Arabidopsis thaliana: one gene and its partners. The protein of the gene in region 4 interacts with the protein of the main gene of each other region in a biochemical or structural test. Each region holds a gene or a part of one and is shown on either strand. Other genes may lie near its edges.

The links.
Region 1: of the proteins of SIZ1 (region 4) and PHR1, one has a biochemical effect on the other in vitro, tested with the Arabidopsis thaliana proteins (one study listed by BioGRID).
Region 2: the proteins of SIZ1 (region 4) and FLC form a complex in vitro, tested with the Arabidopsis thaliana proteins (one study listed by BioGRID).
Region 3: of the proteins of SIZ1 (region 4) and SCE1, one has a biochemical effect on the other in vitro, tested with the Arabidopsis thaliana proteins (one study listed by BioGRID).

The regions. Positions count from the first base shown.
Region 1 is NC_003075.7:14,132,288-14,136,855, reverse strand, and holds PHR1 (phosphate starvation response 1), read left to right. Parts: upstream 1-1,563; 5' UTR 1,564-1,744; intron 1,745-1,897; 5' UTR 1,898-1,904; coding exon 1,905-2,462; intron 2,463-2,552; coding exon 2,553-2,742; intron 2,743-2,825; coding exon 2,826-2,902; intron 2,903-2,971; coding exon 2,972-3,014; intron 3,015-3,100; coding exon 3,101-3,158; intron 3,159-3,245; coding exon 3,246-3,315; intron 3,316-3,458; coding exon 3,459-3,692; 3' UTR 3,693-4,045; downstream 4,046-4,568. Other genes in the region: ABCB24 (ABC transporter of the mitochondrion 2), read left to right, coding at 1-468, 854-1,330; NPGR2 (no pollen germination related 2), read right to left, coding at 4,257-4,568. UniProt on the Arabidopsis thaliana protein: Transcription factor involved in phosphate starvation signaling. Binds as a dimer to P1BS, an imperfect palindromic sequence 5'-GNATATNC-3', to promote the expression of inorganic phosphate (Pi) starvation-responsive genes.
Region 2 is NC_003076.8:3,173,413-3,181,202, reverse strand, and holds the start of FLC (K-box region and MADS-box transcription factor family protein), read left to right. Parts: upstream 1-1,754; 5' UTR 1,755-1,863; coding exon 1,864-2,048; exon of another isoform or gene 2,049-2,119; intron 2,120-2,154; exon of another isoform or gene 2,155-2,218; intron 2,219-2,306; exon of another isoform or gene 2,307-2,319; intron 2,320-5,541; coding exon 5,542-5,599; intron 5,600-5,777; coding exon 5,778-5,839; intron 5,840-5,929; coding exon 5,930-6,029; intron 6,030-6,107; coding exon 6,108-6,149; intron 6,150-6,343; coding exon 6,344-6,385; intron 6,386-7,095; coding exon of another isoform or gene 7,096-7,167; intron 7,168-7,205; exon of another isoform or gene 7,206-7,311; coding exon of another isoform or gene 7,312-7,326; exon of another isoform or gene 7,327-7,377; coding exon 7,378-7,479; 3' UTR 7,480-7,790. UniProt on the Arabidopsis thaliana protein: Putative transcription factor that seems to play a central role in the regulation of flowering time in the late-flowering phenotype by interacting with 'FRIGIDA', the autonomous and the vernalization flowering pathways.
Region 3 is NC_003074.8:21,427,961-21,432,247, reverse strand, and holds SCE1 (sumo conjugation enzyme 1), read left to right. Parts: upstream 1-1,849; 5' UTR 1,850-2,137; coding exon 2,138-2,206; intron 2,207-2,332; coding exon 2,333-2,416; intron 2,417-2,903; coding exon 2,904-3,056; intron 3,057-3,148; coding exon 3,149-3,262; intron 3,263-3,354; coding exon 3,355-3,417; 3' UTR 3,418-3,752; downstream 3,753-4,287. Other genes in the region: AT3G57880 (Calcium-dependent lipid-binding (CaLB domain) plant phosphoribosyltransferase family protein), read left to right, coding at 1-1,050. UniProt on the Arabidopsis thaliana protein: SUMO-conjugating enzyme that accepts the SUMO proteins from the E1 SUMO-activating heterodimer SAE1/SAE2 and catalyzes its covalent attachment to other proteins with the E3 SUMO ligases SIZ1 and MMS21.
Region 4 is NC_003076.8:24,293,066-24,300,776, reverse strand, and holds the start of SIZ1 (DNA-binding protein with MIZ/SP-RING zinc finger, PHD-finger and SAP domain-containing protein), read right to left. Parts: upstream 6,017-7,711; 5' UTR 5,742-6,016; intron 5,644-5,741; 5' UTR 5,552-5,643; coding exon 5,528-5,551; intron 5,260-5,527; coding exon 5,179-5,259; intron 4,960-5,178; coding exon 4,917-4,959; intron 4,808-4,916; coding exon 4,735-4,807; intron 4,641-4,734; coding exon 4,478-4,640; intron 4,314-4,477; coding exon 4,183-4,313; intron 3,876-4,182; coding exon 3,807-3,875; intron 3,564-3,806; coding exon 3,476-3,563; intron 3,397-3,475; coding exon 3,321-3,396; intron 3,110-3,320; coding exon 3,036-3,109; intron 2,907-3,035; coding exon 2,799-2,906; intron 2,316-2,798; coding exon 2,154-2,315; intron 2,050-2,153; coding exon 1,945-2,049; intron 1,862-1,944; coding exon 1,781-1,861; intron 1,698-1,780; coding exon 494-1,697; coding exon of another isoform or gene 477-493; exon of another isoform or gene 246-476; coding exon 110-245; coding exon of another isoform or gene 106-109; exon of another isoform or gene 25-105; coding exon 1-24. UniProt on the Arabidopsis thaliana protein: E3 SUMO protein ligase involved in regulation processes. Mediates SUMO/ attachment to PHR1, a MYB transcriptional activator controlling the phosphate deficiency responses.

The DNA of each region.
Region 1 (4,568 bases), on a different chromosome or scaffold from region 4:
ATGAATGGTCAGATGACAGTTGGTGATTTGGTGATGGTGAATGGTCTCCTCTTTCAACTGTCTCTTCCTCTTTACTTTCTCGGGGTTGTTTACAGCGACACCGTTCAGGGACTTGTCGACATGAAATCGATGTTTAAGTTTCTAGAGGAGAGATCTGATATCGGAGATAAAGATATAGACAGGAAGCTCCCTCCTCTTGTTCTGAAAGGTGGAAGCATTAGTTTTGAGAATGTACATTTTAGTTATCTACCGGAGAGAAAGATTTTAGATGGGATTTCATTTGAGGTACCGGCAGGGAAAAGTGTGGCGATTGTCGGTAGTAGCGGAAGCGGAAAATCGACTATTCTTAGAATGATATTCAGGTTCTTTGATGTAGATTCCGGAAATGTAAAAATTGATGGTCAGGATATAAAGGAAGTGAGACTAGAGAGTCTTAGAAGCTCCATTGGAGTTGTCCCTCAAGATACTGTAAGTTGCCATTTTCACTATAAATTTTGCTAGCTCTTACATTTTGTTGTTATGAGTCTAAACCGGTTTTTAGTATGTTAGCATATGGTTACAGATTGGGGTTTGATTATTAGTACTGTATACTCTTTTGTATTACAATCACGTTTACTACATAAATCATGAAGGAAATGATATTGACACTGCAAAATGCTTCTTAATTGTAACTAAAATCTTTATTTTAATATCATGGCCTTTTTCATACGTTTTGGTAGTTTAAAATGTAACATGTCACTTTTCTACAAATTGCATGACTTCAAAGTAACTTCCATATACAAATTTAATATCATTATCAGGCATATATACCAATCATAAATATTCGTATCATTAACCTTAATTCACATGGCAGGTGCTCTTTAACGACACTATATTTCACAACATTCACTATGGAAACCTTTCAGCAACAGAGGAAGAGGTGTACAATGCAGCTCGACGAGCAGCGATTCACGATACGATCATGAAATTCCCTGATAAATATTCGACCGCGGTGGGAGAAAGAGGGCTGATGCTGAGTGGTGGAGAGAAACAGAGGGTGGCACTTGCTCGTGCATTTCTGAAATCACCAGCAATCCTATTGTGTGACGAAGCAACAAGTGCACTCGACAGTAAAACCGAGGCAGAGATAATGAAAACGCTGAGGTCGCTAGCGAGTAACAGGACTTGCATTTTCATTGCACATAGACTGACCACTGCAATGCAATGTGATGAGATATTAGTAATGGAGAAAGGAAAAGTGGTGGAAAAAGGGACACACGAAGTGTTGTTGGGGAAATCTGGCAGATACGCTAAATTATGGACACAACAAAACAGTAAATTGGAGGTGTGAATTTTGTAAAACTATGAATCAAAAAGCCACTTTGGGCCTTTATATAGCCTTTTAAGAGAGTGAAAGAGCAGAAAATATAGACACCAGAAAAAATTTAATAAATAAAAACGAAAAAGATCAAGCCCAATACACGATCCCAATTATCCAATAAACAACGTCCACGTAGATCCCGACAAGCGAGTCATACTCACGCGCTGTTTCACCGAGCGTGAAAAAAACGACGGCTGATCCCTTTGTTTAAGACAGCCACCACCTCCGAAATTAACAAGAAGGCGAAGAAAATCATCACCACCGTCAACTTTTCTCTTGCGGACAAGACGATTCTCCGATTATCCCCAAGAGGAGAATCCTCATAATCATTTTCTCCGATTCGATTCGTCTTCCTTGGTCCTGGATTGCTTCATGAATTTCTAGGTGAGAATTTTCGATCCTTCTCCTTTGCCTTTTGGTAATCCACAGAGAGATAGAGACAGAGAATTTATATCTTTCGAGCATAGTTCGGATTCGATTTGGTTTTGTTTTTCCAGCGAAGTTGATGTTTGGTTGGATAATGATTCTCTCTTGCAGGACAACAATGGAGGCTCGTCCAGTTCATAGATCAGGTTCGAGAGACCTCACACGCACTTCTTCAATCCCATCTACACAAAAACCTTCACCAGTAGAAGATAGTTTCATGAGATCAGATAACAACAGTCAGTTAATGTCTAGACCATTAGGACAAACCTACCATTTACTTTCATCTAGTAACGGTGGAGCTGTTGGACATATATGTTCTTCTTCATCATCTGGTTTTGCAACCAATCTCCATTACTCAACTATGGTATCTCATGAGAAACAACAACACTACACAGGAAGCAGCAGTAATAATGCTGTGCAGACACCAAGCAACAACGATAGTGCTTGGTGTCATGATTCATTGCCAGGAGGGTTTCTTGACTTCCATGAAACCAACCCGGCGATTCAAAACAACTGTCAGATTGAGGATGGTGGCATTGCGGCTGCTTTTGATGACATTCAAAAACGAAGTGATTGGCATGAATGGGCTGACCATTTGATCACTGATGATGATCCTTTGATGTCTACTAACTGGAATGATCTCTTGCTTGAAACAAATTCCAATTCAGATTCAAAGGTTGTTATAGTTTCTTGTTCCAAGTTTTTACTTTGTTTCTATTTGATATCTGTATTCTCAAGTTGTTCAATACTGGACACACTTTTTTAGGACCAGAAGACACTGCAAATTCCGCAACCTCAGATTGTTCAGCAGCAACCTTCTCCGTCTGTGGAATTGCGACCTGTTAGCACAACATCTTCAAACAGCAATAACGGAACGGGCAAGGCACGAATGCGTTGGACGCCAGAGCTTCACGAGGCTTTTGTTGAGGCTGTCAACAGTCTTGGCGGTAGTGAAAGTGAGCATTTATTTCTCTTTGCTTTCCATAAACTTTGAATTGTATATGGAAAGATAATAACTTTTTCTTTATATTTTACTCAGGAGCTACTCCTAAAGGGGTACTGAAGATTATGAAAGTTGAAGGCTTGACTATATATCATGTTAAAAGCCATTTACAGGTTCTTACTATTCTTTAGTTCCCTGCTAATGCATATAATTGTCTTCTAATATTAGATTGTGTTTTTCAGAAATATAGGACAGCTAGATATCGGCCAGAACCATCAGAAACTGGTAAATACCGAACTCATTCCCATCTTCGTTGATGATTTTACCTGAAGAATTCAATGTAAAAACTAAAGTTTCTTTGATCACTACAGGTTCGCCAGAAAGGAAGTTGACACCGCTTGAACATATAACATCTCTTGATTTGAAAGGGTAAGGTTTTCTTGTCGGTTAACATCACAATGCTACACGCTACACCATTTTTAACTGATTCTTACCTCATACATATTTATACTGCAGTGGGATAGGTATTACAGAGGCTCTACGACTTCAGATGGAAGTACAGAAGCAACTCCATGAGCAGCTCGAGGTATGTTCATAAAGGCATTGCCATTAGCTTTGGTTTTTTATACTTATGTGTTTGGATTGTAGCTGCTAAAGAGAAAATGTGAAACCTGTTTATAAAGTATTCTGAATTTGGGTATGACATGTGTTCTTTTCCTTTGCCTGCAGATTCAAAGAAACCTGCAACTCCGAATAGAAGAACAAGGCAAGTACCTGCAAATGATGTTCGAGAAGCAAAACTCTGGTCTTACCAAAGGGACAGCCTCAACATCAGATTCCGCAGCCAAATCTGAACAAGAAGACAAGAAGACTGCTGATTCGAAGGAGGTTCCAGAAGAAGAAACCAGGAAATGTGAGGAACTAGAATCTCCACAGCCAAAGCGTCCCAAAATCGATAATTGAAAGTATTGGTCTTTTGCTGGATAATCTCGGAGTTTCAGAGTTAACAGTGATAGAGAGAACGAGCTCTTATCTTGAGGTTCTTCAGGACTTCTCTCTTTACTGTTTAACTATTTTTCTGATGGAAGACTCTCAACTCAGCTGTGTAGACAAACAACAGATCCCCAAGGAAGAAACAAAACAAAAATAAAAAGTTAGTTTGGGAGAATCTTCATCATTCAGTGTAATCTAAATGCTTAACTCATCATTAGTTTTACAGCTACAGATTTCTTATGTTAATCTTTTTTAGAATATCAAACCTGAAAAGTTTTCTCCGAAAAATTTATAATCTTTTATGAGTAAATAGTAAACCTGGCTTATAAAATTTACCTCACCAAAACCTATATTAATTTTTGTTTAACTGTGTATTACAAAATGTTTATAAACTTGACATCAAATGATATACTCGTACACATACATCTTTATATCTTCTTATATTCATCTATCAAAAACAAACACAAAAAAAAAGAATCAGAAAAGGAGAAATCATAACCAAAGACAAAAAAAATATGATTTGAGAGGGCAAAATCATCTGAATGGCTCCACTGGCATTGTTTCCTCCAAAGTAACGGCGGCTTGAAAACACTCAACGGCTTCTTGCATCGACGAGACGGACCCTTCAGCTTTGAACATCTTTCCAAGATTGTACCAAGCCGAGTGGTTCAGCCTATCAATCCTAAGAGCCTCCATTAGAAAGCTTCTAACAACCGCTATGCCTGATCGGTTACCGACCTCCAGCAGTATCTCAGCCTTCGATGTTAAGCTTGGGACGTGCATCGGATCTATGTCAAGAGCGGTTGTGAACGCCTCCATTGCTTCTTCTAATTGCCCCCGTCTATT
Region 2 (7,790 bases), about 21 Mb from region 4:
TATAGGGCACATGCCCTACCCATGACTAACGTGAGTCCGCCCCTGATAGCGAGTAAGAAACGAGCAAAGGAATGCAAATTATGTGAATACTATACACCAACAGTGTAGACATGTAGCTACAATGCGGCAATGTTAAAAATAAACTCAAATTGGTTTGGAGGGAACAACCTAATGCTTATAAGTACACTTTTGTGGTAAATACAATCCAATTGAAAGTCTTTGTAGGTTTGGTTTGGTCCAATGAAATTGTATGCGAGTTGAGTAAAATAACCTTAGTTCAAAACATTAGATATGTAATGGTCTAGATACGATGGTAGCCAAAGATTTGGGTTAAATTTAGAATAAAGATCAAAGAACAAATGACTGACTTCCTTATGTGTGTTTGTTTATGTAAAGTCTTAACTCGTGTCTTGCCAAATTAATAAAAAGGTGCATTATACAATGAACTAGAGCTTGTTCTCATCAAAAATTTTAACATTAATATAAGTTATTAAAATTTTGTTGATTATATATGATTTCAATATTAAATTATATTTTTTGCTTATAGCATCAAAACTTCTTGGCACAGCTCCGAGTGTTACTGAAATGTTTGTGTGGCTCCAATAGAAAAGTTAATACCAATCATGAATCATCAATATCGTTACAAAATCAGTAATCAGTTTCACCCACTCCGAGTGTTAGTGAAATGTTTGTGTGGCTCCATTAAAAAAGTTAATACCAATCACCAATATCGTTACAAAATTTGTAATCAGTTTCACCCACTTCTTTTCGTCTTGTTACTCGATATAGCCTCACCTTTCAAGTGTCTAATATAACATTTTTTAACAAAATATTACAAAACAAGAAAAATTATAGTAATTAGATTAATCATATGTAATCTATTACATATAGTAATTTGTATTAGTATCGTTTATTGTGTTACCATTCAAACGGTATAATCTATATAATTATTAGCAAAACAAAATATAGTTTTAGTAATTAATAAAATTAATATAATGATAGTGATATTCAGAATGTGGTATCTAATCATGTAAAAATATATAATAATAAAATTAGATAAAGAAGAAATTGGTAAAAAATAATTAATGAGATATAAAAGGAAAACAAGCTGATACAAGCATTTCACCAAAAAAAAAACAAGCTGATACAAGCAAAAAAGAATTAGTAACTTTGAGCTATTGCCATATGTGTGGACATTTAAGATTTCTTGTATTTTAGAAATCTTATATATTTCCACAATATATTTACTACTTTCCTTTATTATTTGTGTTAATCTCCCGAACATTATTATTTCAATACTATCTGAAAAACACATTTTTTTTTATAAAATTTGATGACGTAGGCGAGTGGTTCTTTGTTTTTACTATGTAGGCACGACTTTGGTAACACCTACTAATTAACTGCCAAATTTTAAGTTTTGAGAAGTCGGAAGAGTTCAAACCAGTTTTAGGTTTCGATATGTCTACATAGTTCAAAGATGATGTAGAGTGGAGGTTCTTTCTGCAATAGTTCAATCCGTATCGTAGGGGAGGAAAGATAGTTTTCATTTAGCAACGAAAGTGAAAACTAAGGCAATGCAAAAGTAGCAAAGACGCTCGTCATGCGGTACACGTGGCAATCTTGTCTTCAAAACACAACGTTTTTATTCACATATTTGGTTTTTTTGCATCACTCTCGTTTACCCCCAAAAAAAAAAAAATATCTGGCCCGACGAAGAAAAAGTAGATAGGCACAAAAAATAGAAAGAAATAAAGCGAGAAAAGGAAAAAAAAAAATAGAAAGAGAAAACGCTTAGTATCTCCGGCGACTTGAACCCAAACCTGAGGATCAAATTAGGGCACAAAGCCCTCTCGGAGAGAAGCCATGGGAAGAAAAAAACTAGAAATCAAGCGAATTGAGAACAAAAGTAGCCGACAAGTCACCTTCTCCAAACGTCGCAACGGTCTCATCGAGAAAGCTCGTCAGCTTTCTGTTCTCTGTGACGCATCCGTCGCTCTTCTCGTCGTCTCCGCCTCCGGCAAGCTCTACAGCTTCTCCTCCGGCGATAAGTACGCCTTTTCCTTACCTGGGTTTTCATTTGTTCCCCCTTTTATCTTCTGTTTTGTGCTCTTTTACTTTTCTGAGAAAATAAAAATAAAAAAACAATTAATATACCGTTTGGTTTTTTTCCGGCGGATCTCTTGTTGTTTCTCGGTTCTGTGTTTGTTTGTGTTTTTTTCTGCGACCATGATAGATACATGAGATAACCAAATTTAAGGAAGAACAATGTCGTGAAGAAGCTTTTTAGCTTCTTACTTTTGTTCATTTCTCTCTCTATTTCTTAAAAAAAAAAATTCTGCATGGATTTCATTATTTCCTTGGAAAAAAATTGCATGTCATTCACGATTTGTTTGATACGATCTGATGCGTGCTCGATGTTGTTGAGTGAAGTTTCAAGCCATCTTTGATTGTTTCTTACCTTTAGAGATTCCTTAAGTTTTTGAAGAGTTAATTATATATCACAAGACTAATGATTAATGTCTCTTTTCAGAGTGATTAAAATTCATTGGATCTCTCGGATTTGTATGCAATGCACTTACGGGAGATCTATAGAGTTGCTATGGGGTTAATGCTGAACAATGTATATATACCACATTGTGCAGCTATTGACTATATAAGACTATTGTTAATCTTCTATGAATTCCTATCTTTGCTGTGGACCTATTACTTGGTGATTATCCAAATTAGTGTTTTTAATTGATTCATATTTTTCATACACAGTAGTTTTGAATTTTGGTAGCTTCAAAAAACTCAGCCTCACAATTAGTACTTACCGCACATATGCTACTTCAGTAACATAATCTGGTTATCGATTGCGATTCTTTGAATCACAATCGTCGTGTGCTATATATATAACACCTTTTGCTGTACATAAACTGGTCTAATTTTAGACTAATTAAATTTCATTGTTCTCTTGGATTTGTATATGCACGTCCGGGAGATTTATAAATAAAATTAGTATGAGGTTAATGGTAAAAAGGATCAAGAAGTTTGGTTTTAAATGTAAGCCACATTAATTGGGAAACTATGACTAAAAGATGAATTGGTAATATATACATAATATTTTTAACGAATTTCTCTCCTTTTTATGGGATATGCTATTTAAAGATTGTCCAAAGGTTTATAGTTTCCCACTCTTGCAGTTACACACATAGATTTGCCTCATATTTATGTGATTGTATATCAATTATCGCCCTTAATCTTATCATCGTTGTGTTCATTTATGACTTTGTTCCTATTCGTTAAAATTGACAATCCACAACCTCAATCTTTTGTTGTGAAAATCGACAATCACACAACCTTTGTATCTTGTGTCTTTTGTCACACAACCTTTGTATCTTGTGTCTTTTGTCATGGAAATTGTCATTCACACAGCCTTGTTTCTTTGGTGCCTCTAGGAAATTGAAAATCCCACAACACTTGTCTTCATGTAAGAAATACCAACCTCTTTGGTACGGATCTATAATGAATCAATATAATCCTATATATAAGTTGTCAAAATTGAATCTGGTGTAGTGTCTACTACAACCCTCCAATATAATAACCAAATGGTTGTAGTAGTTTGGCCATGTTGGTCAAGATCGCTGGCCGATTCTCACTTGATGCATACTTTGTTAGGATTTGTTCACCCCTAGTTAGGTCCAGCCTTGGAATTGTCGAGACACCTGACTAGAACTCCTGGTCTTAATTATGATTTAATAAAGAAGAAGCCTTTTAGAACGTGGAACCCTTAGTTACTCAGTTACTCTTTTTGCATACTTAGGTTGATGCAAAGAGCTTAACTTCACAATAGGACTGATATCTATTAACAAAACAAATTAAGTGAAGTTTTGTCAAAATTGTTGGATCTTCTAGGTCAATATGTAGTTTAGTTTTTATCTGTCTTAGTCGCTTCCTTCTATGGAAGATATATTTATAGATATGTGTGATAAGTTTCCTACTAATATTAGTTAGTGTAACTTCAAGGGCAGAAAACTCTTTACTTTTATTGCTTGATTAATTTGGGGTTTAAATATAGGAAATTGGAACCTCACAGTTTCTATAAACGAGTAAGTAATTGAATGTGAAATAACAAAATGGAAGACCGGCTTCCTATTCTTAGGAGTCTTTTGATATTTGCAAAAAAAACATATACAATAGAAATATGAGTTTTGTCTAAGACTCGGTCCATGTATTTGGAGTTTGGCTTCCTCATACTTATGGTTATCTGGTTACCGCCACATCATCATTATCATCTTATGGGTCATCAATACTAGCTCTATCGCTGGAAAAAACCTTGTCCTCAAGGTTCATTGAAAAATCCGAAAAGTTTTCTCGTATATGTTGATATGGTATTACTTACAAACAAAGAGCTGATGTTACCAATTTTGACACGAGATTACTAATGAACTCATGAAAGAGGCGTTTTTAAAAAATTCTTTTTAAAACTGGGATACAAAAAGAAAAGAGGTAACTAATAATTTGATACCATTGTTCGTAGTCCTGATCAAATGTTATAAGGGTAAACATGATAGAAAATAGAGGGTAAATAGGTTTTGTTCTTATAATGGTTTTGATAACACGCTTTGTAAAGGATATAGGTGTTTTTTGATGCTAAAAGTTGTGGTATGGATCAAAACCAAAATGGAAGCTCTGAATCTCTGATAGAGGTTGCAATTAGAATTATATAAGTTAATTTGCAAATGAATTGGAAGCAGTCTTCCACTATTTGCTATTGTTAGGGAAGTCTTTCAGTTAATTTCAGAAAATTAAGAGAAATATGACTTTCTAGACTCAGTCTGTGTACTTGGAATTTTACTTCGGTTTACTTCCATGTCATCACATTGTGGCTCATCAATATATGTGTGTATATACATTCATGAGTATATATGATTTCTGGAAAAATAAAAATTGCTTGTTTGCATTTAAGATTGGGGCTGCGTTTACATTTTATATTGCATCAATTATTTCAACATAGATTCACAAACATAAATGCATAGAAACAATCTGGACAGTAGAGGCTTATGTTTAGGGTTCTTATGTACCTTAACTAGTTTGACTTTAAGTTAATCAAAGCCAGCGCTATCACTAAACTTTATCTGTATGCCTTTGTATGACTTTTCTTTGAGGGAAAATGTCATTTTCAATCTGCCGAAATATATAATAAATACATGTTAGCCCACATAATTCATTGGATAACTAATCTTTGAGCAATTTTTGGTAAATGTTTTGGTTCTTTTCTTTTCTTGAGAGAGAAAAAAAATATCAGATATTATTAAATATTGCTTACAAAGCTAAGAACAAGTTAAAACTTTTTTGAAAAAGTGGAAATTCAGATGTGCTACTGCTTAAACATGAATATTAAGATTATTGTTTTTCTGAAATGTTACGAATACTAGCGTGTTATATATATGTAAAAGGTAAGGTGTTCTCTCAATGTTTCATAGTTTCCAGTGGCCTTTTCAAGGGTTAGCTAGTAGTTTTGATCCTAACATATTTTTATTTTTTTTGTCATCTCTCCAGCCTGGTCAAGATCCTTGATCGATATGGGAAACAGCATGCTGATGATCTTAAAGCCTTGGTAATACAAACATTTTGAATCTTTTCCCTGATGGAGTTTTATAAGGCGTAAATTTACTATTAGTTTGCCGAGTGATCCTAAATATAAAATGAGGTGGTGGCTCCACATGCATTATGCATACCGCAATTTTCATAGCCCTTGTCTTTTACCGCTTCTTCTGTCCCTTTTTCATGGGCAGGATCATCAGTCAAAAGCTCTGAACTATGGTTCACACTATGAGCTACTTGAACTTGTGGATAGGTTAGTACTACTAACTAAGACTATATTTGCTCTCCACCTTTGATTACAAAGGAATTAGTTTTTTTTTTGTCAAACTATGAATATATGCAGCAAGCTTGTGGGATCAAATGTCAAAAATGTGAGTATCGATGCTCTTGTTCAACTGGAGGAACACCTTGAGACTGCCCTCTCCGTGACTAGAGCCAAGAAGGTAAGTTGATTTCGTAATGTCTACTCCTTTCTGAATTTTGTTTGCTGAGAACAACCGTGCTGCTTTTGTTTGTTGCAGACCGAACTCATGTTGAAGCTTGTTGAGAATCTTAAAGAAAAGGTCAGATATTTGCTACCAATTTTATTGTACATCAGATATATCCTCTTCTGTGTTGTCTCTGTTACTTTAAGTCTGCTTAACGAGCTTGCACACATATTTGCAACTTTCTTCATATGTTTTGGATTCCAAATTCTGAAGTTGTTAGGTTTAGAAACTTGATCGGTAATTGCTGAACATTTTGATCTTTAAATCAGGAGAAAATGCTGAAAGAAGAGAACCAGGTTTTGGCTAGCCAGGTAACGAAAGCTACATTTCCTAAAAATATATATGCATAACTAATAAGCACTGCGTGTTGTGTGTCCAATGTCCATGTACATGGACATAGATACACACTCTTATGCTTGCAGATATATATATATATATATATAGTCAGTGCATTTCAATCATTCACTAGTTAGCACTTTCCTGTCTTGTATAGTTGTATTCTAGACAATTCTTCTCAAGATTAGGGCATTTTGGTTGTTGGTAGTTTGGTTTATTAGGGTTAGTGAGATTATTACTGAATAAGAACAGAATTTTGATAACGGCTGGTTAGAGTTAAGGGAAATCAGATGAAGTTATTTTTTTATTTTTTATCGAGTATAAATTACATGATTGCTATATCATTTTACTAAATTAAGAAAAAAAAATTCCGGTTGTTGGACATAACTAGGTTTTGGTTCTTCTTCTTCGTTTTTTTCATGTTAAAGTGTTTAATTAGGTTTTGGTTCATTTGGAGATTTATGAACCTTTTATAGTCTGGTTAAGTCTGGGTTTGGTAGAGATTCAATAAGATTTCTTGATTCTCTTTCAGGTTATGGTCTGGTTCAGTCTAGTTTAGTTCAATATTGGTTTCCTTGAAGGTTGTGTAAACGTTGTCTATATTTAAGTTAATCACCTTTTAACCAAAAAAAAAAGTTTATGGACCGATTAGTTTTTTTTTTTTTGTTTTTTTTGTTATGGTTAGGTTTGGATCCGAGTGGCTCAGTTCCAACTCCAAGTGTCTAGAAGTAGTGCTACTTTTACATGCTATATATAGGTTAGATTATAAATTATAAACTGGTAAAAGATTATAGATACTGCTTCCAAACTTAAAAGCTTAAACATAAAGAACACACAAATTATGAGAAACATAACCTTCTGTAGTGTTTTTTAATGGTTGTTATTTGGTGGTGTGAAAAAGATATTCCTTGGATAGAAGACAAAAAGAGAAAGTGAATAGTGATTTTGACCTATGATTATCGTACAGATGGAGAATAATCATCATGTGGGAGCAGAAGCTGAGATGGAGATGTCACCTGCTGGACAAATCTCCGACAATCTTCCGGTGACTCTCCCACTACTTAATTAGCCACCTTAAATCGGCGGTTGAAATCAAAATCCAAAACATATATAATTATGAAGAAAAAAAAAATAAGATATGTAATTATTCCGCTGATAAGGGCGAGCGTTTGTATATCTTAATACTCTCTCTTTGGCCAAGAGACTTTGTGTGTGATACTTAAGTAGACGGAACTAAGTCAATACTATCTGTTTTAAGACAAAAGGTTGATGAACTTTGTACCTTATTCGTGTGAGAATTGCATCGAGATCTTGAGTGTATGTGTTCTTCACTTCTGTCAAAAACTTGTGTTTGCTTCACAGTGAAGAAGCCTACGGCTT
Region 3 (4,287 bases), on a different chromosome or scaffold from region 4:
ACCGTTGTTACTGTTGGAGTTTTTGATAACTGCCATCTCCATGGAGGTGAGAAGATTGGAGGAGCAAAAGATTCAAGAATCGGGAAGGTAAGAATCAGGCTTTCTACTCTCGAGACTGATCGAGTTTATACACATTCATACCCTCTTTTGGTGCTCCATCCTAACGGAGTCAAGAAAATGGGAGAAATTCACTTAGCTGTGAGATTCACTTGCTCTTCATTGCTCAACATGATGTATATGTACTCACAGCCTCTCTTACCGAAGATGCATTATATCCATCCACTGACGGTTAGCCAGCTTGATAACTTGAGGCATCAAGCGACTCAGATTGTATCGATGAGGCTGACCCGAGCAGAACCACCTCTAAGGAAAGAAGTAGTTGAGTATATGCTTGATGTGGGTTCTCACATGTGGAGTATGCGGAGAAGCAAAGCAAACTTTTTCAGGATTATGGGAGTTTTGAGTGGGTTAATCGCAGTAGGAAAATGGTTTGAACAAATCTGCAACTGGAAGAATCCAATCACAACAGTCTTGATCCATCTCTTGTTCATCATCCTTGTGCTCTATCCCGAACTAATCTTGCCCACCATCTTCCTCTACCTCTTCCTCATCGGTATCTGGTACTACCGTTGGAGACCGAGGCATCCTCCTCACATGGACACACGTCTCTCTCACGCTGACTCAGCCCACCCCGACGAGCTAGATGAAGAGTTCGACACTTTTCCTACTTCCCGACCATCTGACATAGTCAGGATGAGGTATGACAGGTTGAGGAGTATTGCTGGTAGGATTCAGACAGTGGTAGGTGATCTAGCAACTCAAGGAGAAAGGCTTCAGTCTCTGCTAAGCTGGCGTGATCCGCGTGCAACAGCGCTCTTCGTCTTGTTCTGCTTGATTGCCGCAGTCATTCTCTATGTGACACCTTTCCAGGTTGTGGCTCTTTGTATTGGAATCTATGCTCTGAGACATCCGAGGTTCAGATACAAACTACCATCCGTTCCTCTCAATTTCTTCAGAAGGCTTCCTGCAAGAACTGATTGCATGCTCTGACCTGCAAAAACTGCTTCCAATACCGAAGAAAACTTCTATAAGACTTGTAGTTTGTTCTTGTTAAAAATATCATGATGACTCTTTTTAGTTTGTTCATTGTTAAAAATGTCATGATGACTCTTTTCTTGGTGATGGTGATGATGTATCCGTCTGTCTTTTAACATTATTAAGACTTTTGTTTGAAAGTAGTAAAGAAGTATCTTGTGTGGTTTTGATGTTCTTGTCACTGGTTAGTAAGTCATAATCTATGCCTCTCTGGTTTTTGTGTTTTATCACTGGAGCTTTAGGAGTTTGGTGCCATTGGGTTGGTTGCTGTTGAGATTAGAGGTTGTCACAGTTTGGTCTAATGGTCAAATACAAGTTTCAAGAAAAAACCATTTTTCTAATACATCCAAAGTTGGTTATAACCAAAAAAACTATCATATTGGGAATATATGTTCGCTAAATAACATTCTTACACAAAAATTCATTGAAAGCTTTGATATTTTATTTTTTTTCCGACCATTCTGTTTGACAAATGTTTGCCAGGTGAGATACTTTTATTCTAGAAAGACCAACCATTAAGAAGAAGAGGGGAATAATTAAAGCAAGCTTAAGAGTTAAGAACACAAAGTAAATGGGCCCAGATATGGTAATGGGCCACGTGACAAATGGGATGATACGTTATGGCAGAGAAAGAATCTTTTGGTAGCTTTTTTGGGTATCATCGCGTAGGTTTCACGCCACATTTATCCATTGACTTTTTCATTACGTCTTTTCATTTATTTTATGATATAGTAGATAATAATTATACCTGGTTAAAATTTAATAATTGACCGGTCAATAACCATTAAAGTGGAGGAAGTAGGACGAAAGGACATTTATTCGCCGCGAAATCTGGACCGTACGATACTCCGATTACCCTTCTAAAGCTTTAACATAGGGGTACATCTGTAACTTCACATTCCATCTTCCCCCAATCTCCTATTTGTGTCTTCTTCGAGTTTATATATAGAGAGATAGAGATTGGAGAGCGAGCGAGACAAATCAGAAGAGAGAGATTTAGATATTGTAGAGTGAGATTCTAAAGAGAGAGAGAGAGAGAGATATGGCTAGTGGAATCGCTCGTGGTCGTTTAGCTGAAGAGAGGAAATCGTGGAGGAAGAATCATCCTCATGTAAGTGATTTCGTGTCTTCTATTTCTCCAAATTCGTGATTTTGATTTATGGGTTTTGGGTTTCTGTTGATTGTTCATGGTCTCTGATTACTGATTGGGTTTCTTCTTGTTGATGGTGAAATTTAGGGTTTTGTGGCAAAGCCGGAGACGGGGCAGGATGGAACTGTGAATCTAATGGTGTGGCATTGCACTATACCTGGTAAAGCTGGGGTAAGTATCAATCGTGAAATTAGGTTTCTTCAGTTTTCTTATTCCTCTGCTTGTTTTCTTCTGGTTTGTATTAGTAGCAACAAAAAAGAGATTGAAATTAGGGTTTATTGATTTGGGCTAAAGTCTTTGTTTTTATCATCTTCTGATTCTTAGTTCTTCAAAGTTTTAAGCTTCACCAGTCTCTTCCCTTCTTTTTCTTTGTGATTCTGTTTGATGATTCTCTCATATTTGCTTACACATAGAGCCGTGGAAGATTATCTAATATGAATGTTAGTGGGAAGAGTAGCTGTGTATCTATCTCCTTGTTTATCTTGTATGATGTTTTTTTATTGGTGCATATGATTTTGGTCTTGAATACGACATTGAAACTGAACTCTGCTGTGTATCTTACTTTGACATGGCTAATAAGAGTGTTACTGCAAGAGCAATTGCTAATATCAATCTTTACTGTTGTTTATAGCTAATTTTACATGTTTCTCTGCTGCAGACTGATTGGGAAGGTGGATTCTTTCCATTAACGATGCACTTCAGTGAGGATTATCCGAGCAAACCTCCGAAATGTAAATTTCCACAAGGGTTTTTCCACCCTAATGTCTATCCATCTGGAACTGTCTGTCTCTCTATCCTTAACGAGGATTATGTAAGTACTCTACTGTTTCTTTCTTTGCATTTCTCCATGAGCAAAAGCCAGCTTTATCCTCAAGCTCTCTTTTGTTATGTGTATATCCATAGGGATGGAGACCAGCCATCACCGTGAAGCAGATTCTTGTTGGTATTCAGGATTTACTTGACACACCGAATCCCGCTGACCCTGCACAGACAGATGGTTATCATCTCTTCTGTCAGGTACATTTAGAAATGAAAACTCTAAACACAATATTAGGTTTTGAAACATAGGAAGGAACTAAGTCGAGTGATTGTTGATGATTATTGTGCAGGATCCAGTTGAGTACAAGAAAAGGGTGAAGCTGCAGTCCAAGCAGTATCCTGCTCTTGTCTAAAACCTCAAAAAAGAGAACGCACCAAAACTGATGACAAGCTCTGAATATTTTCTCGTCTTGTGTCATTATGTTTAGATGTCATTGGGTGATTGAAAACTCCTCATTTTGGCACCTTAAGACACTGGAATCTATTTATTTTCGAAAAAAAACTCTTCTTTCTCTATTTAACTGTTAATATTCTTGGTACTGATTCAGTTGGTGTTGCTTCTATATAATACATAATTATGTTCTCTGGTCGTTCATGAGTGTTGTCCAAATTCTACTAAGTGAAATATGAAGTCTTCATTCCATAGAGTAACGAATCTTAGTTGTGAATCTAGAAATACATATATTTCTAACTTGAAACTACGCTTAACACTTGAAAGTCAAAATCTTACTCCTCTAAAATTTATACTCCACTGATTTTAGACTTTTGAAGTAGTATTAGTGCTTGTTAGTAAATTGTTTGCTACTTGGAACATTTTTTGTCAATGATTGAGATAGAAAGCTTGGAATATTTAACAGAACTTGGAATTTAGCTACGAAATCAAGTGTGCAGAAAGAGATAGGCAAACACCGTATGTCAACAGTTACAAAGCAATAAAACCAAACATTCAATACTTATATACAACTCAATTATTGAAAGTCAACAACAAGCCAAAATCGTCTACAAGTGATGACACTTCAGATATGAAATGTGTGAACTATTATAATCTTTCCTATGATATCATCATCAGCAGATGATTCCTGATCTATTCTATCATCAGAACAATGATTTTCCAAAACGAGTATCCTATAAAATCGTCAAAAGATGATTGACGCTTCTAATAAAATCATCAGAAAATGATACAAGTCTAAGAAACCACCGAACTTGTGAAGATATGTCATTAG
Region 4 (7,711 bases):
TGTCTGATGATCCTGTTCATTGTTCTGTGCATAGCGTTAAGAATCAAAAGGAACACCGAATCATCCCAAGAGAGACACAACAGAACAGACAAATCAGGAAGAATATTACTCAGAATCCGAGTCAATGGAGAGGTACATCCGAGGTCTTACAGAACGCTTCTGGCGAGGAAATGAAAATGGATTATCTGATCTTTGCTTCTTTGCCTTGTCTTGTCTACTGTCATTCATACCCAGAAGCAACGACGCTGCAAATACGCAGTAATAGTCAGTAAGTATACCACATGGACTATGGACATATATAAAGTAGCATATTCAAAGACAAAATACGCCACATAGAAACTAAAACAGATATTTCTTCTTCAGTTGTTTATAAGACCTAGCTAGCAGCTTAGTAAAGTGATGAAAAAGGTAATGCAACATCAAGAACATGGTCCACATTTTTAGGTCCCTTTGATGTTTTCAGGAAAGCATTAGTCTCAGACAGGGAACAAACCAGTCTCTGTTGTAGTATCCATAGAACCTTCCCTCGTAGACATCTGATGGCTTGAGTTAATCCCGTTTGTAGTTGCAGGATCTCCATGATTCCCAGAGGCGCTATCGCCTAGCCTAAGCGAGATCCAGTCTTCACTACGGAGACCATTTGACATATCAGCTTGGTTTTTAAAACCCGACTGAGCTGAAGCATCTGGTTTTGTTGGCAAAAATATTTGAAGTGAGGGATCGTCTCTACCAAATGCAAGAGGATTGTCAACTAGGCCATCGTTTGCTTCAGATCGGCCAGTAGAGCCAGGAACCACAGGAACAGATGCCATTGATGTCTCAGGAGCCATGGTATAACCTCCATTTATTTCAGGAGAACAGTTTAGTGGACTATGATGATGCAAACCAACTAAACCTCCTGAAACGTCAGCATCAGATCTAAATAGTTGGAACCCAGGGGCTTCTGGAGTTTCAGAAGGAAATGACCAAAGGGGCGTATCAAATTCATCATCATCATTGAAAAGACCTAAGCCTGAACTTCCCCCAGCTATGCTGTGTGGGTCCTCATTATATGAGTTAATTATTCCAGGAGGGTTCAGTGGAAAAGTAAGTCCACCATCTGTTTGACAACCACTGTATGCAGGCCCTGGAGTGATCACTAAATCATTCTCGTCATCAGAATCACTCAGAACGATGACTTCATTATTTCCACCCTCGCCAGATTGGTTTCTGTCAGGAAAGTTATAACCTGAATCAACATTCATGGAAATGGAATCAAGTTCCATGCCGTTGGCTACAAAGTCAAAAGTTCCAATAGCATCCTGGTTTACGCTTGCATCATCACCATCCCTACCACTTCCAGTAGCACTACTACTCATTGGTATAATATTCTTCTCCTGATACCCAACCTTTTCTTGCCTATTACTGGAAGATAATCCATTTGTATTAGGTTTGCTAACTTCCCAAATGCCATTACGATTCTTCCTTATTCCAAGTTTTAGCGGGGCTGGACCATCTGAGTAACCTTCTTGCTTAACCGGTAACATTTCCATCTTCCGTTTAATATCAACAGCAGAGGGGCAAAGGCTACCATCAGGTGCATGCCACTGTGAGAGTTCCCCCAGTTCCCTTCGCTCACTCTCTCTTTTGAACTTTACACGCCAAGAACCATCAGGTTTCACTTCAATTTCAGTCACCTCTTCATCACAATGCTTCATCTGTCGTGCAGGAAGACAACTACTGAATAAAAGCGTAGATACAAAGATTTTAAGAATTCTTGAATTCCCATAAGAATACATACCTTAGACGTGATACGGTTAAAATAAGGATCGACGATTACATGCTCCACTGAGTAGTTCTTCAGACAAATAGGGCACTGCCACTGCATGTTAACAAACCCCAGAACAACTAAAGTCAGAAAACAAGAGACATAACCCAATATCTAGACAAGGATAGTAGACCTACCTTTCTGGAACGTTGATTCAACTCCACAAACACATCAAGGTCAAAACAGCCCATGTGCACACAGGGTAAAAATCTCCCAGCAACTTTTATCCTAGAACCGCTCATCTAATGACGCAAACAGAAAAGACAATAAAAAAAATTCAGTCTGCAAGATAGCCCTAGGAAGAGGATAAGTATAAAAACTGGGCTACGAGCTATTAGTAACTTACAGGACACCGAAGATTGACACCGAAGAAATCAGCAACAACTTCAATGTCACTATCACTGTCGGCATTATCATCTCCACCTCCACCTCCAATGCATCGGCGGACACGTGCAAGAGCATCTTCAAAAGTCTCCCCTTTACCCTCTTCTGGAATCAAATTTAGAACCTAGATGCAAAAATGAGTATATATATAAGCAACTTGGAGATCATTAGATCATTAACGTACAATATGAATTCCTCTGTATACAAGAACACCAACAAAAGTGATAAATATATTGATTAAAGGGATAAATGTTGCAGCACAAGGACAGACTACACTTCCGTAACCAAATCTCATACAAGGCCAGGCTCAGTGGCTCATATACGTGAAATATAGGAAGAAGAATAGGACTGTGAAATTTGAAATCTGACTAACTTTTCTAGATTTAGTGGGAGTGGGAAATAACATGGGAATAGTTTAACGTAAGTGTGTAACCACAGGTAACTTCCACAAAATTACTTTCTTGGGTACGCCAACATAATTTATTCTTTCTTTTTGTATTCAGAATATTAATTTCGTTCCTTTTTGAACATTTATGTTTGGACTCTTCATTGACCACATATACGACCAAATCTTTGAATGTTTCTTATGCATATATGTTATCAGTACCTGTTGTAGAGTCCTGCGCTTCACAAGTCTGACCCCAAAACAAAAAATCCGAACGTCACCTCCACTCAAGGATATTCTGTTAACTCCATCCCTAATACAAGATGTAATCTGCCAAAATAGTAAAATGAAATGGTTAAAACTTACATCACTGATTGCTAGATTTTCAATGTATGAGAGATTGACTCCTATATGTAATTCAAAAGGGTTACTACTCAAAAGGGATGATAAAAAACACACAATGGGTCCATCGTCGCGGCCGTTGACTCCCAAAAGCTGTCCTCCAGGTCGATTAATTGCACGTACAGGCACACCTATGAAATGATAGGGTATATATCATGAATCCCACATCAGAAACATACACAGTCTTATTGAGTATGATCAGAATAACAGACAAATAAAGACAATGTGAATGTGAATGGAATGTGCCCACAGGAATTTATGCAACATGAAATAAAACAACATTCCCCTGTTTCAAAGGAAATGCTCAACCGACTAAAACTCTGGTCGATGTCATTGTCATACCATTGACCTGCAGATCAGCATACTGAGGCCACTGCATCCTAAAGAGAACTTTATCATTCAAGAGCATACACCAAGCCTAAACAAAATTGATTTCCAGTTAGAAACGTATAGGTAGATACACCTTGACATATTAAATGTAGTTTACAAAACCCAACCTGAACATCGTACTCTGGTTTGGCCAAAAGGTCCTTGTCTGCCCTTGTGATTTGAAATGTTCTCTCCACACTCTGCATTGTGCTTGCACTGAAAAGTTTTGGATCGGAGTATTAGTACAAACAAAAGCCAGTAACAGTATTTCTTCAGCAGGTGCTATGCATATAGCCAGGAAACAATTGTCATTCTTGAAACTAGAATGAATGTCTTATACCAGTTCCAAGTAGAAAATTTAAAGTCAAAGTGACTTATAAAGTACCAATTCACACAATAATGGCACTGAAAGTACACTCGTTCAAAGCAATAGCAATATCAAGAATATAAAATTCTTACCCATCATTTGGGATAGTCGTTGCAGTCAGCCTCACTGGAGAGAGTGGATGTGCCACTGTAACCCAAAATCTGAACAAGGAAACCATGTAGGAAAACCGTGAATAATCATGCTATAGGATATCCACAGGTGCTAATGTAAAGATAGGAAATAATATATAAAAGAAAATTGACAACTATGAAAACAGTACTAGAAGAAGAAGAACAATCAAACGCAAAGAAACTAGAATGCAAAGCATGTCAAATGTATAAATATGTCTTTCTTTTCAGTTATGGCAGGAAAGAATCATAAAGCAGTGAGGGAGGAACTCAGATGGAAAATCAATCACATATCAAACTTAAACTCAGACAGGAAAAGTAAAATCCTTGAAACACATACGGGTCAGCTCGAGTAAGTCGGCAGATTTCACAATAAAATGATTCCGGAAGTGGTGGATTCCCATCCATAGGCTTATCTGGGAGAATAACACAGCCAACATGCTGCCAAACATGGCATCTTGGATCCTCACACTGAAATCGGAAGAAAAAAAACAAAAATTACAGCCAGAAAGTATCACCAAACTTCACAAATGTAATCAATGATAAATACATCACACCATCGACCATAAAATACAAAGAAATTGTCTACAGTCAGCTCAAACAGGAATAAACGCAGTGAGTTCATCCCAGATTACCTGTATCATTGAGTCTGTTTCTAGCGAGTTTCCACAAACACATCGAACTTTAATTTCTGGTTGGAAGGGGTCTTCAGGCTCTCCCTTAACTTTCAGATTACTGGTATCTGAACTCACTTGTCCTTTTGATGCTAAATCACTTGCCCCAGATACTTGCATTTTCCTATGGAACACAATATAAAATTAATGGTAACAAAGAACCGCCACAAAAAGCATGGCATCTCCTAAGAAATCTATTGAAAGAAACGAGCACTCACCTATATGTATCGTCCACTAATTTGGCAACTGCTTCCTTTGCCACTGTATTCTTTTTAGACAACAACCTGGCAGCTGTCAGTAGGGAATGAAAACGGAAGCTTATTAGAAGAAGATGGCAGAGCTAGCAGTGACTCTTAATACACCAAAACGTGAATAAACAAAAGCAAGTGGTTCATATAACCTTGTTCATCAGAAAGAAGGGTCAAGATCCGGTCGACAAGTTCCTGCACAAGAAAATTTCAAAAAGAAGTTAAATTTTTTGGTGAAAGAATAAAACAGATAACACTCTTTGCAAGGTAATGTCTTAGATTTATCTTGGAAACTGCTATATAGCTCAAGACAGCAATAATTATCACCCAAAACATCATCTTCTCTACTATAATCATTCCAAAACAATCACAAACATAATCACGACCAATGGAAGATTAGAGAACGATACTAACCTGCTTCTTTCCCTGTTTCGAAAGTCCCAGCTGAGTGAGCACATCCTTGAGCTCTTTTATCCGAAAATATGAAAGTTTTTCCTGCAACCCACAACAAAAACACAACGTTAAGCTTAACTAGAGCAAGACTAAATTCAATAACAGCAACCACGAACCATAATCCAAAACCCTTATGAGATAAAGGATCGTTTTTTACTCCCAGCAATACAATCTAGATCATAAACAAAACGGAAAAGCAAAGCTTTTTTGAAACATCCACTCTATATACCAATCAACACATTCATAACAAGTTCAAATCAACAAAAATTATAAACCAACAAGCATCCATAGATCTTTCAGACAATAATACCTTACAATTAGCTTCCAAATCCATGTCTTCAACACCAGACACAAACAAGAACCAAAAGCTCAGTTCAAAACACACGAACCTAAACTCCAGCAATTAGTCTCCATACAGCAACCGATCTAAATTAACAGAAAAAAAAGAAGGAGTTACTGAAACGAAAACCCTTGAAATTCCAAAAGACAAGACCTTTAAAGACTATTAAACGGAAAATACAAACCATGAAATCGGATACTTGATCAAACCCTATCGAAATTGATAGGTTAATGAGAGAATTGAGATGATTAGAAACTAGGGTTTTCACAGCTACGATAAGATTTTCTTTGGCCAAGGAAGAGGAAAATAAAAAGACAACCAAACCCAGACGAAGAAAAATCGATCCGCCGAGACGAAAACAAAACAAGGGTTGCCGGACGAGTCGCCGATTATCAAATCCGGTTTAATTTTCGCGCAATACGTCCGGGTTTAGTTCCTGTGTGGTCACGTGCACGGTCGTCCCCCCCACCAATATTGACGTGTTTTTGACTTTCGGTTCTCACACCACTTATTTACGACCGTAACGGAGTCTTTGTTATTTTAATCGAATATTCCCCACGTTTTATGACATCAGCCGTTCGATCAGACCGGACCGGTTTGTTATATTTTAACCTCAATTTGTTTATTTGCCGGTTTATAGTATATATCAAATCAATTTGGAAGTTTATCATCCGAAAACATGGTTTTCCATATGTCTCTCATGGCATATGTAGATATTGTATTATTTGATTCTAATTCTTCTAAGTAAGAATTTGGAAACATATTTCATGTCTCTTTTCTTCATTTGTTTTCATTGAATTGACATAGAATGTACATTGAATTGACATTTCTCACCCTCGCTAAATTCATTGAGAATTGTGGCTCAATTCTTCCATATGTGCATTATAGTTAAACTACGAATAAAGGATACAAGTGAGCAAAACCCTACTTTCAAGTTTCAACTAGTAAATCTATCGAATGGATTGCTAGACCGGATAATTCATACTCATTACGGGATGGTTCGTAAAACATGTGGGAAATTATCTTATATATCCACCAAATATTTGAGGTCTCGTAAGCATGTGATCTTGCAAATTGATACGTGGACCAAATTAGATATTGGACACATTTATATGTTCTTTCTATATGTAAAAAGCTTCATTCCGTGTGGAGTTCATTTGTTACAAGAAATGAGATATTATAGATATCAAATAGCATGAAGCTCTTTCTTCAACACTATTTCTACATACAAAAAAAAACATTATATACCAATTAGTGGTGGACTTCTGGTGATAAGATTTGGCTTTTTATCTTTTTGGATGCTGTGTTTTGAACAATGACTTGTCGAGTTTGAACCAAATTTGGTGTTAACCCGAGATATTAAAAAAAGGTTTAATTAGACCTATAGATTTTCCTTGTTCTGCTTAATGAAGATTCTAGAGTAGTCGTGAGCTGGTCTCATTGACTTGATATTTTTTTTGCTTCTAATGGAATGAGATATCTTGAGTTCATGATGTGGATAGTTTTCAAAGATTTGTCAACCTTTTCGTCTTAACATTTTTATATGTCCCTTGTCAAAGGCAAAGAAACATATCGAAAGTAAAAGAAAAGACATTTTTTTCTTGTGGGTGAGAATCAAACCAAACTTGTGAGAATTCTGCAAACGTACACAACTCTTAAATTGATAAAGCTTTTCTTGAAACTTTCAGGCTGAGGATGTGCTGCTAATCATGTGAGCTCCTTGCTGAGCTAACATTCAAAAGACCAAAACATATTTGAGCAAATAGCAAGAACCTATCTTGGAACAGATTATCATTTTAGGTAAGAGAAGACGATCTAGAGGCTCAAACCAAGGTCCTCTACGGAGCAGTTTCATTGTTTTTATGGTGTTACTATGTAAGTAGAAAGAGAATAGTTTATGAATATTAAGATGCATCTTTGTTAGAGGGTGATTATTGAACAACTGAAATACCTTGATCTCTCCGTATTAAGATGCATATATAAGGATTGCTACGTAGGAGAGATACCGTCACCACTAGTTAACTTCTTAGAAGAGGTGATGGCGCTATCTCTCCTGCGAAGCAAATCTTTATTTGCAGTTTTAAAACCATAGAAGAAGCAAGACCACTTGTATGTGTAATCACTCTATTAGTATCACCTCATCCATATATATAT